Linked DNA regions of Tamandua tetradactyla. The protein of the gene in region 1 interacts with the protein of each later gene in a biochemical or structural test. Links are inferred from orthologs where the notes say so. Each region holds a gene or a part of one and is shown on either strand. Other genes may lie near its edges.

What was found.
Region 2: the proteins of PTPN3 (region 1) and SCN5A form a complex in vitro, tested with the Homo sapiens proteins (2 studies listed by IntAct, with this or other methods). The link is inferred for Tamandua tetradactyla from reciprocal best matches to the Homo sapiens genes PTPN3 and SCN5A.

Annotation. Positions count from the first base shown.
Region 1 is NC_135328.1:28,458,211-28,466,159, reverse strand, and holds the start of PTPN3 (tyrosine-protein phosphatase non-receptor type 3), read left to right. Parts: upstream 1-4,940; 5' UTR 4,941-5,198; coding exon 5,199-5,412; intron 5,413-7,945; exon of another isoform or gene 7,946-7,949.
Region 2 is NC_135341.1:48,697,426-48,704,959, reverse strand, and holds the start of SCN5A (sodium channel protein type 5 subunit alpha), read right to left. Parts: upstream 3,226-7,534; 5' UTR 3,179-3,225; coding exon 2,906-3,178; intron 491-2,905; coding exon 373-490; intron 1-372. UniProt on the Homo sapiens protein: Pore-forming subunit of Nav1.5, a voltage-gated sodium (Nav) channel that directly mediates the depolarizing phase of action potentials in excitable membranes.

The DNA.
Region 1 (7,949 bases):
AGCTTATATGAAGCAATATACACCCATCTTGAAGATGCTTTTGGATTCACTATGAACAACTTCACTAACATCAATGCTAAATGAAAGAAATTTTTCCCCATGGTGGAATATTTGCCACATAACAGCTACTCTGACTATCTAATGGGGCAATAATTGCTGTGTGTTTTAAATTTTCATTTTAAGAATAATTCTAAATAATAAACATTTGTGGCATTATCTTAAAATTTTTCAGTTTTTTTTTACTGGCATTTATTTTTTGTTACTGTCCCCCTCTTAATCTTTTCTATCTTATCTTTTATCTATCTTTTCTATCTTATCTATCTTTTCTATCTTATCAAATATCTATATCAGGTAGAAATCATTTTACATGTTATTGAATATATAATCTTATCACAATACATTGGCTCAAAATAGCTCAAAATAATAATAAGCCTTGCATTTATTGTGGCAGCTTTTTTTTTTTACAGAAAACCTATGAAACTTTTTATATAATCCCATGACAGAAAAATGATCTCTGTTTATTATTATGGTCACGTAATATTAAAAAAACAAGTAAACAGTGTCATAAAAATTCAAATTAAAAAAAAATTTTAAGGATATAATTTGGAGAGTTCCCAAGAATTCCAGTGAAATCCACATATTTATACCTAAAGCCTAAAGATAAATATTTACTAGGAATTTAGAAACATTTTCTAGGTGGAAGACAAACAATAACATGGAAAAAATGCTTAAGAAAATGTCAGGTGGTTCTAAATGCTATGAAGGCAAAAAAGCAGGGAAAGGGGCTAAAAGGGCTAGAATTGGTGTTTTAAACAGCTTAGTCAGTGGTGAAAATACGCTACCAGATAAGGGCCATAAAATATGTGAAATCTGAGGAAGACTTGAGCAAACACAAAGGAAGGGACCATGAACCATGGAGCAGATGATGATGAGCTTCAAGTCAAGAGTTTGATATTGGGGAGATTTCCAGAAAAGCCAGGGAGGAAAGTACATTCCAGGAACCATTTGCTGCATATACAGAGGGAGGGTAACTGAAACAGCCTCAGTGTGTTTAGAAATGACAAGGAGTTGGGTGTGGCTGTAATGTAGGAGAGTGGCAAGTTGCTAAAGCTAGGGAGGTGGAACTGGGACAGGTACAGATTGTCTTACATACTGTGCCAGGAGTTTAGCTTACAGGAAACCAAGATCATGCCCTGGATCTCATTGGGTTAGCTTTGTGGAGGACACCTCTGGAAGTAGCATGATGGAAGGACTGAAGACTTCTCTCACAAAATCCCCTCCCAGGATCTTAGCACCGATCACAACAGGACATGTCCAAATTTTCCTGTTCCTTTTTCTTCCCAGCAGCATCAGCAGAGATCCTGGTTGCCTATCCCAATATCCATTTCCTGTCTCTTGCATAATGATAGAATTCCCAGCTATTAGCAGAGCACAAAACCCCTTGGAATATATTGTCCAGTCTCCTTCATAGCTTGAACTAAGTTCCAGCTGTGAAATGTAAATGGAAGTTGGTGGCAGTTTTCTGAAATCATAAAAAACAGCTTGAGCATGCCTTCACTCTCTTTCTTCTTTCATCCCTTCCTCCCTCCTGTTGGAAACAAATGCTGATGTTTTGGTTGGAACCTGAGTCATCAACTTGGACAAACAAGACGGTGGAGAAAGAAAAGCAAGCCTGGGACCCCAGTGATTGTGGCGCTGCCATAACAGCCTTGACTTCTGACCTCTGAACTGTTTAAATAATAAAGAAATGACCTGTTATATTTAGGTTGGTATCATTTTGAGTTTTCTGTCACTTGTAGCCAAAAAGGAAAGGAAGCAGGCTTTTTTTTTAGGAGAGTTGTTATTTTCTATTTTTCCTTTTATTTTGCATGTATTTTCATCCCTCAGTGTTTCTGCCTTTGGGAAGTAACAGTTCATTTCTATGCAGTTCAGAGAACAGAGCTCTCCCGTGAAGCAGTTAACTCAGGTGCACCTGGAGAAGTTTACCAGCTGTCTCCTCCCACTGCATTCTCACATTCTCAGTCCAACTGGTTTTAAGTGTCTCCTTTGTGATATCATATTGGTTTCATAAGGGCTGCCTTAATTGCCTTTAAGAGCAAAGTTTAGACAGAATTGGCTTGAGAATTACATTTATCCCTTCATTCATTCATTCACTATTTATTAAGCATTTACTATGTGCCAGGCACTGCAATAACTATGTTCCCAATAAGTAAAGGAATGGCTCTGTTGGGTTCCGTGCAGGCCAGCCCATTTGAGGAACAACACATTCCATTGGAGAGAAAAGGTCATGTTTGAGAGGGATCTTGACAAACTTGAGCATAGCCACAGAAAACTAGGATGGTAGAAGTCTGGGTTCCTCCTTAATTCCACTTAAAAATAATAATAATAAGGCATAAAGGTAAGGGGAATTCAGCCTATGACAGATGCCCTATTTTTGGTCTAACCAGAATCCTGTGCCTCCTTATTCTGGAAACACATTCTCCTGCTTGAGGGAGGACCTGCTCCTTCCCATTCCTTGTAATTCTGGTGGGGATCTCAAGTGCAATACTCTCGCATCCAGGTGCAGGAACAGATGCATGACCCAAGCTAAACCAAGTGCAGCCCTTTTGTCTTTTTCCCCTTAGATTGTGAGTTAAAAGATGTGATTGCAGAGATGGTGCTACTTGTAATCCCCATCTATGTGGAAGAGCTTAAACAATGAAGCAAACACAAGCAGAGGCCAGCTGAGAGTAGGAAGTGCTTGGGTTAATTAGTCATGGGAATAGCTCTGTAATTGGCTTACGGGAAGCAATAAAGGTACTTTTTTTTATTTACCTGGTTTGGAATGGGTTTTCGGCCACTTGCAGAAGAATCTTGAAAAATGTATGCCATGTTCCCATATGCTAAAATCTACCTTGCAAAGGAGGAGAATTAGTCATTCATATAGGTCCAAAAAGCTAAACCTGGATCCAAGAGCTGAAGTTTCCAGGAGGCAGACTCAGGCTCAATAGGAGTTCTTTCTAACAATCGAAATGTTGTTAAAATAACCTAAGAAAAAGATGATTGGCACATGGGCAGGTCATTGGAACAAGTCACGTTTTTACTCCTCTAAAGCTCAATAAGCTTACTGTTAGAAAGGGGAAGGAAGTCAACCCTATTTCCTATAGTCTATTGGATAAATTTTATTATTTTGTCACTAAGAAAATAAAGGAAGAGGAGGAAATACACTCAAATAAATGGATTTAAAGTGACAATTAAAAGTTTACTACTGGGTGGGTCACGGTGGCTCAGTGGCAGAGTTCTCACCTGCCATGCAGGAGACCCAGGTTCATCTCCCGGTGCCTGCCCGAGCAAAATAAAAAATAAAAAAGTTCACTACTGCATCTATCCATCTACCCATCCCTCCACTCAACAAACATCTATTGAATTTTTACTCTTTGCTGGGTTTTGTACTAAGTACTGTGTGTAACCATGAATTGGGTCCCATTTTTAACCTCTAAGAATACTGAGGTCTTCAGAGGGAGGCAGATAAACAGTCAAGACAATAATTCACAGAGTAAGAGGTGCTGGGACAAAAGTATGTGACTTACTCAATGACTCAATAAAGGAAGTAGGAAGGACAGTGGGGATGGGGATATGTTAGAAATAGCTCTGGAGTAGAGGTGATACTTGAGCTGGATAATAAAGACGTGCTGGCCATGCAAAAGGCAGATGGGGTGGGGGTGGAAGATGAGGGCAAAGGGCACCAAGACATGAACGATTGTTGGCCTTCAACGCACGGTAAGTGGTAAGTGTTGCTAAAATGGGAAAGAGTGAGGTCAGGGATTCAACAGTACTCCATGTAACTAGATGAGGGAGCAGGGTCTTCTGAAGAATTGTGATCAGAAGACTCTAACCTCAATTTAAGTTTTAGAAAAATCATGCTAACAATAGTAGAGGTTGGATTTGGAGAGGACACGTTCTTAAGCATCACAATCGGATCTCTGTTTTTCATCAGATATATCTAATGTTTAAATATCTTGATGAACACCAAAGAGTTCAAAGACTCAGAGTCAGAAGAACAAAAGTCCACGCTCTCCCACCCTGGCCATGAAGTTTGGTTCTGAGGCCTTTAGAGAGTCACTTAACCACTTTGAGCCTCAGTTCCCTCATCTGTAAAATGGGGATAATAACCCAACACAAAAGGTTATTATGAAGATAGAATGAAATAAATTACACTAAAGCACCTTGTAAACTTCACAGAGACATACAAATACACAGATCTGTTGTTTTGTCCTGTACAAAGACTGGTTTTTGTCCTAGTGTTATTATAGCCAGATAAAATTTACAATAGTTGCTTAATGTCCATGAATTATAACCAGGGTAGAGCATTTGGAGGTGACAAGGTTTTTTTGACAAGACAAGGTGGGCTGAGAACTGGATGGAGAGGGCTGGACCTGGGAGTTCAAACAGACCCAGGTGACAGAGGATCACTGATTTCTAGGGAGAGGTTAGACATTTGAGTCCAAACCAGAAGTCCAGTCCAAAATAGAAGGGAGAGGCAGGAAGTGAATTCCACAAGCCAAAGTTCAAACTAAGTCCAAGCTCCAGGTTCCCATCTATTCAGGAGAAAGAAGTGATCAGTAGAGGTCCAAGAGGAAACTATAAGAAGAGATCTTAGCCACTGAGTTAGGTGGTATGAAAAGAGTTTAACAGCTAATAACAAGGACCTTCTTCTGCAAACACTTGTGTTTGTTCATTCAACAAACATACATTGAGTACCTTTTAAGCTCCAGGAATACAAAGTTGAATAAGTTAAGCAACTTGTAATCCAATGAGGAAGCCAGACATGCAAGCAATAATTCTAATACAGCCTGGAAAGAGGAGCAACGTCAGGAAACACATCAGGAAAGAGTTTTTGTTTTCAGAGCACAGAGGAAGGCCACTGATCTGGCTACACCATGTTGGGGACATTTCTGGAAGGGGTGATTAGGAGTTCACCAGGTGAGCCAGATACAGTCAGGGATGAAGGTATTTCAGGCAGCAAGGACAGTGTGAACAACAGCAGGGAAACAAGAATAGGATATACAAGCAGGTATAAATTGTCGTGGTATAAACCAGGAACAGGAGTTGGGTGGGACGTCTATAGGTAATAGGAGAGGAAGCTAGAGAAGCTGGCAAGAGAGCTGCCTGTGCTAGTCCAGGAAAGCTGGGACTTCATCCTGAAGGCAACAGGAGCCATGGAAACACTTACACAGGTGAGTAATAGGACAGGAAGTGGATTGCTGAGAGTTGCTATGACAGAGGAAACAAAGCAAGGGACCTGGACACTGAGAACATGGGGACCAAGAAGATATGGAGAAACAAGGCAAGAAGCCCTACAGGACTGGGGTTCTGCAGTTAGAACAACTCTAGCTTCCCGATGGATCTGGATACCGAGCCCTTCAGCTGACGGTCAGTAGTTCTAACGTGGAGGACTTGAATGAGCTGAGGCAGGCAGCTGTCCCCTGAGACTAGAGCCAAAGGAGGGAATATATCTGAGCCTGCACTAGTCAAAAATTATTTCACTAGACAGACATAGTTTCTACCTGCCCTAATTTAATTTGTTTTATTACTTCAATTAACTTTTTCTTTTTTTTACCTACTGGATGCTGGGCTTTGGTTTGGCATTTTATATACATAGATAGATAGATTTTTTAATACTTAATTTTTGCAACCACACTGAGTTCTATTTACAAAGAAAGGGAGGTTAAGTCTTCCAAACCGATGAGCTTTGTCCAGGAATAGAACCATGTTGTGTCTAGTTACAAAGGCCACCATGAAACAGTTGTGCTGAGAGGAACTTTCATTCTGCATAAGAAAAAATGGGAAAGGGAAAACTATAATGGCAGGCAGCAAGAGTTTATGTCAGAAACCATAAATTTCTGGTGGTCTCAATCAGCAAGGTTGGGTACAGGATTCAGCAGCCAGATTCAGGCACAAAGACGGCCAAGAATGGGAATGAACCCATGTCGGGCTTTTGCTAAGTCCCCTACAGAGGAATCACACAAGCTGAAAATAATGGCGAGAGAGTAATTGAAGTGAGAGAACTTGGGGTTTAGCTAGCTAGAAAAAGGAGTCACGACGGGGGCATTATTTTGTGGTGTGCTGAAGGTATGGATGTGCACCATGTCAGAAGGTCTGGGTAGTGCCGTGTGTGCTTTGTGACTGGTGTGTGCTGTCACACTTGTCAGTGTGTGTGTCAGTGTACTGGGTAGTGTACAGACTGTGTGGTACATGGTGGAAAGGTGCAGTATGTAGTGTGTGAGTGCTGCAGGGCATGTATTTGTGTGTGAGGTGTGAGGAGCGTATGGAGAGTCTGTGTGCTTGTGCGCTGTTTGTTTGTGTTTGTGTGTGGTTTATCTTTGCAGGGAATGGGGCATGGTGATGATGTCCCTAGATGGGAGATGGTGGCATCTGCTTGGGACTGTGTATGCATAAGTGTGTAGTTTGGAGTGTGTGTAGAGGATACAGTAAATCATGTGTGTCTTTCTATGTGAGAGTGTGTGATGTTTGTGTAGAAGCGAGAGATGTGTAGCTGAGCAACTAAGAATGAACTTTATAACGCTGATACACAATGACTTGAATTGGGGAAAAATGTTTTAGGTTTGGTTTTTTTTTCACTCTTGTTTTTTTATGTTGTGCTTTGTTTAACCATAAATAATTTCTCTCCAGGAGAAGAGACTCTGCCTCACCTACCTAATCCCTTTATTCTGGGAGGTGAGGCCTGTTTGTTGTGTAGCTGTTGGTCAGACACCCACTCACTCTTCTCCTTGGGGGTGAGCGGTGGTCCAAATGAAAATGTTGGGACTGAAATGGTAAATATTGTCAGGTAAAGGCGTTTGGATGTACCTCTAAAAGTTAAACATAGACTATCATATATATGATCCAGCAATTCCACTCCTAGGTATTTATCCCAAAGAACTAAAAACCGGCACTCAAACAAATTCATGTACACACATGTTCATAGAAGCACTATTCATGATAGCCAAAAGACGGAAATAGCCCACATGTCCATCAAGAGAAGGATGGATCAACAAATGTGTTATATCCATATACAGTGGCTATTGTTCAGTTGTACAAAAGAATGAAGCGCAGATGCATGCTACAGCATGGATGACTCTAGAAAACGTTATGCTAAGGGAAAGAAGCCAGACACAAAATATCACCTATTGCCTTACTCCATTTATATGAAATATCCAGAAAAAGTAACTACCTTTTCAGAACAGGTAATTGCCTTAGCGACAGAATGCAGCCTGATGGTTGCCAGGAGGTGGGAGGAGAGGGGAGTGGAGAGAAACTGCTTAATGGACAAGGGGGTTAATTTTGGAGCGATGGAAATGTTTTGTAACTAGATAGAGCTGATGGTTGCACAGCATTGTGAGTGTACGAAATGTCACTGAATTGTTCACTTTAAAATGGTTAATTTCATGTCATGTAAATTTCACCCCAGTACAATTAAAAAAAAAAAAAAGAATATTTAGAAAAGATGGAAATCCTGCATCTCGGGCTAGGGGCTTCTCAGAGACTGAATTTAAATCATCAAAAATTTCCTCTAGGGTGCCCGGGTGGTTTAGTGATACAAATGCTCGCCTTTCATGCGGGTTCGATTCCTGGACCATGCACCTCCAAAAAAAAAAAAAAAAAATGTCCTCTGGTGATGCCAGAGAGAAGGTCGCTGGGAGTCCTACGACTCAAAGGCAAGAAGATAAAAGAGGAGAGAGCCCCAGGAGATATTGTGAAAGGGCATGGCCAGTGGGATTTAGGGACTCTGATGACAGGTCACTGATCATGTTTCTAATTACAAAGAAATTGTCATTTTAATTTCTTTGGGTTGGTCTCTCAGCTTTATAAGGTTTACGGAGTGCTAAGCCCAGAATCAGCGAGGCTCTGGAGAATGAAGAGCAGGCGAGTGCCCAGCCTTGGGGTGAGATCCCATGGGAAGAGGTCAG
Region 2 (7,534 bases), on another chromosome or scaffold:
TGCAGTGGGAGGTGACATTAGGAGCCAATATCACAGACAGGCTTCATTTCTTTGGGATCCTCGGCAGCCTTGCTTCTGGGATGCCTCTCTCCTGAAGACGCAGAGTAGGGCTTCTCAAACTTTCATGTGCTCAAGAACCCCCTGGGAGATCCTGCTAAAATGCAACTGCTAATTTGGCAGGTCTGGGGATGGGGGGTGCCTGGGGTTCTCTATTTCTAATCAGCAACTAGGTGATGTCTGTGCTGCTTGTAAGAATCAGCACCACCCTCAGCAAAAACTATGAGGGGGGCTGGGGTGGGGGGCAGCACCCTGCCCGCACCACATGTGGGGTCCAGAGGGCACACCCAGAAGGGATTAATTGCAAAGGATATGAATGAACCAGGATCTTCACAGCTGCTCTCCGGACAGGGTGGAAGGGGCTGAGGACATACAAGGCGTTGGTGGCACTGAACCGGAAGATGGTCTTGCCTTTGTTGAGCACGATAAAGGTCTGTGGACAGAGAGCTGATTAGGTCAGAGGTGACAGGCCCGGGCTACTAGTGGAGAGAGGCTTTGGGGCAGGGGGACTGGGAGTGGGGGAGGAGGAAGAGCCGAGGGACTGAGTGAGGTTAGGTTTAGGGAACGGTCACGTTGGTTGGGATTTCATTTCAAAATTATAGTCCTTAATAAGGGCCTTTCATGATCCTAGTCTAGCTGTGTGACAGCAGAGACCAAAAAGACCTAGCTGAGGCCTCCCCCTTACCCTTCTTCCTTGCCTGAACCCACCGGCTCTACATGGCTTTCCCACCAGCCTGATGGAGTGAGGGTACGACCGGGAGAGCTGGGTCACCAGGGAGAACCATGGGTGCAAGAGAACCATGAGGAAGGTGCAGAGGGAAGCTTTCCCCAGGGCCCTGCCTCCTTGAGTGCAGGACAGACGTCAGTCCCACCCTACCACCCAGGAGACAACCTGTGGAGGGCTTGTGAGTGGTCCTAGTGGGACCCTCCACCCCCCAGCTTCCAGAAGGTGCTGTCTACACAGCACAATGGGTCCTGGGGATGGAGAGCAAGTGCTGGAGGCTGAGCCATATGTATATTAGGTGGGAATTAAGGCCAAAATGGCCCTTGAGGACAGATTTCATCCCCATAGGTCTTGCTTCTCCAAGGGCAGAGCTGGGCAGACAAAGTTCTATCCTATCTGGGCTGGTAAAACAGGCTGACCACATATATCAGGACCCAAAGTTCTGCTGTGGGGACTTGGTCACTCTATGGGGCTGTAGCCAGTGTGGCCAAGAGTCAGCAAGGAGAAACAAGATTAGAGGTCAGAATCACCTTGGGGTCACTCTTCAAACATTCCTGGTGGACACAGGGACAGAACAAATAGAGTCCCTGACTCCTCCCGGGCCAAACTGCCAATAGTTCCCTAAAACCGAGCCCAACCCTGATCCCCAGCCCCAGCTGAGCCCACCAGCCTTGACTCCTGCCTGATCCCAGCTAAGCCCAGCCTCATCACCACCCTTCCTCTCATGGTAACCTCGACTCGCCACCCACTGTGGTCTTGACCCCAACACCAATTCTGACTTTCAGCTCTGATCAATTGTAACCTAGGCCCACCCACTCTGACTAATCCCAACTATCAACCCAACCCCGATCCCAACTGTGCCATGGACCCTGTTCTTGAGCCCACCCGAGTCCCCTGAACAAAGGGTGGCTCAGCTGGAAGTCTGGGAGCAGGACCAGGTTAAAGAGCATCTCTCCTGCCTCTGCGTATAGATGGTGGGTTTTCCCTTTGCACACTCAGGCCCACTGGGGCAAACATGCATCACATCCGTCTCCAGACTCTTGGTCCTGTAGACAGTCACACACCCAAATGCTAGTGACATGGACATTGCCACTCACATCTGCTTGCACTCCCAGGCACGCCCTCCTGGCCTATCCTGAGGACTCTGATCCTATCTGCCCCTCAAGTGCCTCCTCATCCCTGGCACTAGCTGCAGTCACATGAGCAGTCACTGTCATCCTCGGTGCCCATCCCCGGGACAGGCCTTACCCCAGATACTAATCCACTTTCCTGCAGCAGTGAGGCCCAGAACAGTGGTGAGCCAGGCTGGGAGATGGAGCATGTGTGCCCAGGGTCTGGTGGGTGCAGGGTGGAAGAACATAATGTCTTGAGGGGAGAGGCCAGGGCAGGGGACTGAGACAGGGGTTGAGGGTGGGGTTTACCTCCTGAGTAGAAGTCCATGCTAGGAGGAAGCCCCAGTCACCCGCCCTAGTATACCTACAAAAGCCACTTCCTCCCCCAATACTCAGGAGGGACAATGGCAGAACTACCCCGGCCCCTCCCCCACTGTCCCTCTCAGATTTCCCACTGGCCTTCCCGGTCCTGTTGCCACCTCACAGATCCCAGGGGAGTTGCTGCTGTGGGCCCTAGCCTGAGCCACCCCAGCGCAGCCAACCCTGGGTTGCCCATGCTGCCAGCAGGGTGGAGTGTGGCGAGGCGGGGGGGGTGGTGGGAGCATGGTGCCCTGAGTTCAGAGAGGGGACCGTACGCTGTGTTCTGGGGTCCAAACTCAACTCAGGGCATGACTTGGGGTGACACACACACACACACACACACCAGGGGATGGGGAGAAGTCCTGCAGAAGTGACAACCTAACCACAGATAATTCTCAAATTCCAAACAAGGAGGTAAGATTTCAATGGTGCTGCCCTCGTTTTTCTTCATAGCACCAAAGCAGCATCTTAGGCTGCATAATTCCTGCCTTTTATTTTGGAACTCCAAAATTAAGGTGATTGGAATGTAGCTCGCCTATGACTCATTCTCCTGAAGCCCAGGAGAACCCACCCTGCACAGAACCCCATATGGAGGCAAGGCTGTCTCCCTGTCTGCCGCGTGGAGGGAGGTGGGCGGGTGGGTGGCAGTCACCTTTTGGGTGCTATAGAAGGGGTCCAGGTCCTCCAGGGGTTCCCCGATGAGCTCTCGGGGAGGATTGCCATAGAGATCCGGCAGCTTTTTGGAGGCCTGCAGGTCCAGCTGGGGCCGGGGCACCTCCTCCTCGGGCTGCCCCTCGCGGCTCTCCTGCGAGGCGGTCGAGCTGCGAGCCTGCTTCTCTGCCATGCGCTTCTCAATGGCCGCCAGGGACTCCCGGGTGAACCTGCGGAAGCTGCTGGTGCCCCGAGGTAACAGGAAGTTTGCCATTTTCTCATCCTGCTTCTGGGGCACAGGTTCTCCTCACGCTGCTTGTGGGGGAGCTGGAAGACACGGACATGGGGCATGAGGCCGCACCCTGGGCCGGGGACAGCGTGGCCAGACCCGCCGGTGAGGGGCTGAAAGATGCTCCCAGATGGCGCCCCCCAACCATCTCCACTGGCACACTGACCAGCACGGACCTGGGTAAACCCAGAGCCTCCAGGCGGTGGGGTATTTGGGAGGGTCACTCTTCCCTCTCCCATCCCCCAAAGCATGTCTGAGTACATGTGGGTGAAAGTGACCATCACTGAAACACTGAAACATTGGGGCTGCTCCACTCAGCCCCAGAGGGGACAATGGCACCTTTTGGCTCCTAAACTATCGTCACTCGAGGCACTTCTCACAACTGGTGCCAACACACTCTGGAGGAGGTGGGGTGGTTCGTGGAGCAGGGGCAAGGCCTGTCATCACCGGCAGAGCTGGTCCTAAACCAGATGGTTGGTCTTGAACAAATGAATGAGACTGCATGAATGATGGTTAATGCACAGGCGAGGGGCAAGGGTGTTAGAGAGAACCAGCTGCTGCTCTCCTCTCAAATTAGTCCTTTATGCAGGAACCTTGGAGCCCTATGGAGGGTGATGAGAGGACCCCCAGGCCAATGCCCAAACTCAGGGCTTCCTTCCAAGCAGATTCCCGGGCTGAGTGATGGGGCCGGAGGTTGAGGGATATTCTGACTAGTCTCCCTGCAGCACCACGGGGCACAATAAGGTGTTAACATCTGGGTGGAAAGTAGCAACTGACGAAGCACCTGTATCTGCTGCTCGACACCCAGACAAATTCTGCAGACTGGGGAAGCAGTGGGGGAACAATTTCACAGCTGCCATCCAGATGTTTGGTCCTGGGTGTGCACAGCTGTGGCAGGGCCCTGCTGAGGCTCTCTAAGGCATCCCCAGGTGCTGCATCTGCCCCGTACCAATCTGGTTCCAAAGCTGGGAAATGCTGACAGAGCGTCCCCAGCTCCCCCCTCCTCCCCTCGCTCCCCTCCTGCTGGCTCTGAACAAATGAGAGCTGATCCCAAGAGACGGCAGGGCCGGAACACGGCGACCGCTCATCAACGAGGATGTGCAGCCGGCACATGTGCGTGACGCCACGCCGGGAGAATGTGGCCCCTGGCTGCCTCCAACCGCCCAGGACCCGGGGTGGACACGTGCTGTCTATGACACCAAGGCAGAAGAATGTGCTCCCGACTGCCCCGCCAAAACAGGATGTGGTACCAGCGGTCACCCACTGTGACACTGACCCGGGAGGCGACGTCGCTGCCGACCGCATCACACCCGGAAAGGGCCGGGCACCCGCTCAAGAGGGCAGAGCGGACACCTGTTGGAGAGCTCTGCCAGGACAGAATCCCCTTCCTTCAACCAAGGGCCAGCTTTGCCTTGATCCTCCCCCTGAGAAACAGGCTACCAAGGACCCCAGTGGGCTGCTGCTGTCACCGACCCTCGCACACGGAGGGCCAGGCTCTGCCTCCAGGGCCCTCGCTGCGAGGAGTGTGGATCACCGGGAAGTGGGCACCTGGCCAGGTGGCAGGTAAACAAACAGTGAGCAAACACAACACAGGCAGGCCTTGAAAGGGCGCCTCTGGTCCCCTGGGAGGGGCAGCATGGCCTGTGCAAAGGGCGGCTGGGAGAGGAGGATGTCCTAGGACAGCACTCCAACCTTCAGCGTCTATTTCTCCTGCTCCCTTTAAGTCAAAGGAACATCTCTGTTAAAAATAGCAGGTGAGGGAGTAGCTTCCCATTTTATGAAAGCATTTCCCTGTCTACTTCCATCTTTGAGTGAACAAAGAGAAATGTCTGTAACACTCATCACCAAATGTGAATGGGAATTTTTTTTTTCCCTTTAGCTGGCGGAAATTTGGGTAATTTAAAACTTTCTTCTTTGTGCTTTTCTCTTCGTTGCTTGAATTCTTTATGAAGGGTTTGTATTATTTTTGTAAAAACAATGAGGACATTATTCTGTTTATTGAAAAAAGAAAAAAAAAAGGCCAGCGTGGATGACAGCAGTTCTTTGCAGGGCAACCCTCTTTACTGTGAGCAATCACCAGTCCTGTATGTCAAGAGGCCACCTCTTTTCCTTGGAATTATTTCCTAAAAATAGTGCCCTCTGTCTCACTGTATCTACCTATGTCCACATGCCTACGAGGGTTCTGCAGGCTTGTGGATAACCATGGACCTGCAGAGGCTTGCTGGTACACACTGGCCAGAGTGTGTGTATGTGTGTGTGTGCATGAACACGCTTGCACTTGCACGAATTAGTAAAGATATGTTCTAGTAAAGACGTTCTTTTTAAAGATTTGACGTCCACAATTCATGCAGATTGGTACACCTATTCTGAGGGTATAGGTGTTCACTTGCCACCGACTGGACACACCTGGTCACCAGCACCAGCTCAAGAATGAGACTGGGGGCCCCTCCAGCACTCGGGTCCTCCCTCTCTCCTGGCTGCTGATGTGAAACAGTGGCTTTGCCTGGCCGTGTAGTTCAGGGGCTCAGGACAGGCCCCTTGGAGGGATGGGCAAAGGATTCAGGAGAAAATTGCATCCCGTTCTCATTAACCGCTAACTGAAATTTGGCACTCCTTCCATTAGGAATGCAGGCGACGCCCCAGAAGTATTAGGAGGGTCTGTGACTGAAAGAAATTGCAGCTATTTCCGTATCTCTTTGTAGTGGTTGCATGTATCTCGAAACACTGATGCATTTCGCAACTTCAAGATGAGAGTAGTTTTTAGGCGCGCCACTAGCTGTTATTATTGAACATATTAATAAAGAAGAACAGACATTACTCTATCAAAAATGTGTTTTTAAGCATTTTGACAATGATATTTCAATATAATTGCTTTCCTTTTTAATCTTAGGTATGCTATTTTGTCTTGAAAAATGGGATTCTGAGGTGGGCTCTGTCTGACTGGCAGAGAAAGGTTAAGGCCCCTGCCGAGCTTGGCTCCTACTCAAGAGCTGCCTCTGGGGTACCCCGAGTAATCCCGGCCCCCTTCTCTACATCTCGGTCTCCTCATCTATGGAGTGAGTTTGCTGGATGAGGTGATCTCCTGGCTGCGGCTCTGACTCACCCCAGCCCTCCCAAGGGAAAGCCTGGCCTTGGGATCCCAGGCTGCCCCACCTGGGCCTGAAAGATTCCATTCAGAGTCCTGCGGGGACCCCGTGGGAGAGGCAGAGCTCCCTCGAGGAGTCAGGACCCAGATCCCAGGGGGATGGACGCAGGCCAGAAGGGACAACTGTCGGCTCATGTGTCCAGGCATTACCACACCCTCCCTGGTCCCCTCCACCTTCAGCTCTGGTGACGGGCCCTGGTGATCTCCCAGGGGAGATCTTAACCCAGCTGGCCTCAGCAGAGCCCCCACGCCCGCCGTAGAGCCCCCACACTTGCTGCAGAGCCCACACATCCCGATGAAATCCCCTGTTCCCAGGCAGCCAGGCAGCCTCAGGTTCCAAAGTGTCCTGTGTCCGTGGGCCCTGCGGGCGGCTCTCGGTGGGCAAGCAGGATCTGTTTTGTCCCTTGTTCTCCTGCCACCTGCACCTGGCTCTGGCCCTGCCCTTCCTTCAGCAGCTCAGGGCCCACGCCTTAATATGACCAGGGCCGGTTAAGCCCTGGCTGCAGAGTTTCTGGTGATGCCAGGGCTGGGAGAGCTCAGAGTAGCCTGAGGTCCTGCCATACCCCTCAGGCTGATGGGAGGTCAGCCCCCAGCTTTTAGGGGGAGGACCCACCTCTGACATTGAGTGGCCACAGGGAAACACCACCTGAGTAGGGATTCGCTGTCTTCCTCAGTTCCAGCATGCCGGGAAGCCGGACCTGACTTTATTCAAGACCACCAGCTACCTTCCCTCTAGATGCCAGCACCTCATCACTGTCTCCCCTCACCCAGGACAGCTTCTCCACTTGCACTAGCTTCTCCGTGAGGGACAGTCCTACAGCTCACCTTTCTTCCTGGGCCAGTTTCCCCTGTCCTGTTGGCTTCCCTTGAGGACTAGAGGCCCCCACTCCATCCTGTCCTAAGTTCATCAGCCTCTAGTTATTGGATGCTTCTCTCCTGAAGTCCTGCTGGCTCCTGAGAGTGAGCGAGCAACTGTGAATCCTCCTTTTCAAGCCATTCTTCCTGACATCCTTTCTTCTGACAGTGGTCACAATCCCCCCACCCCACCCCATGTGCCACTGCCCCAAGACAGACCTTCCTGTCTCTGCTCAGAGTATGGCAGCAGCTCCCATGCTGATCCCACGGCCACCCGCCTCCTCCCTCTTTCCTTCCATCCCATGCATGCATTCCCACCACTGCAGAGCTCAGACCTTCCC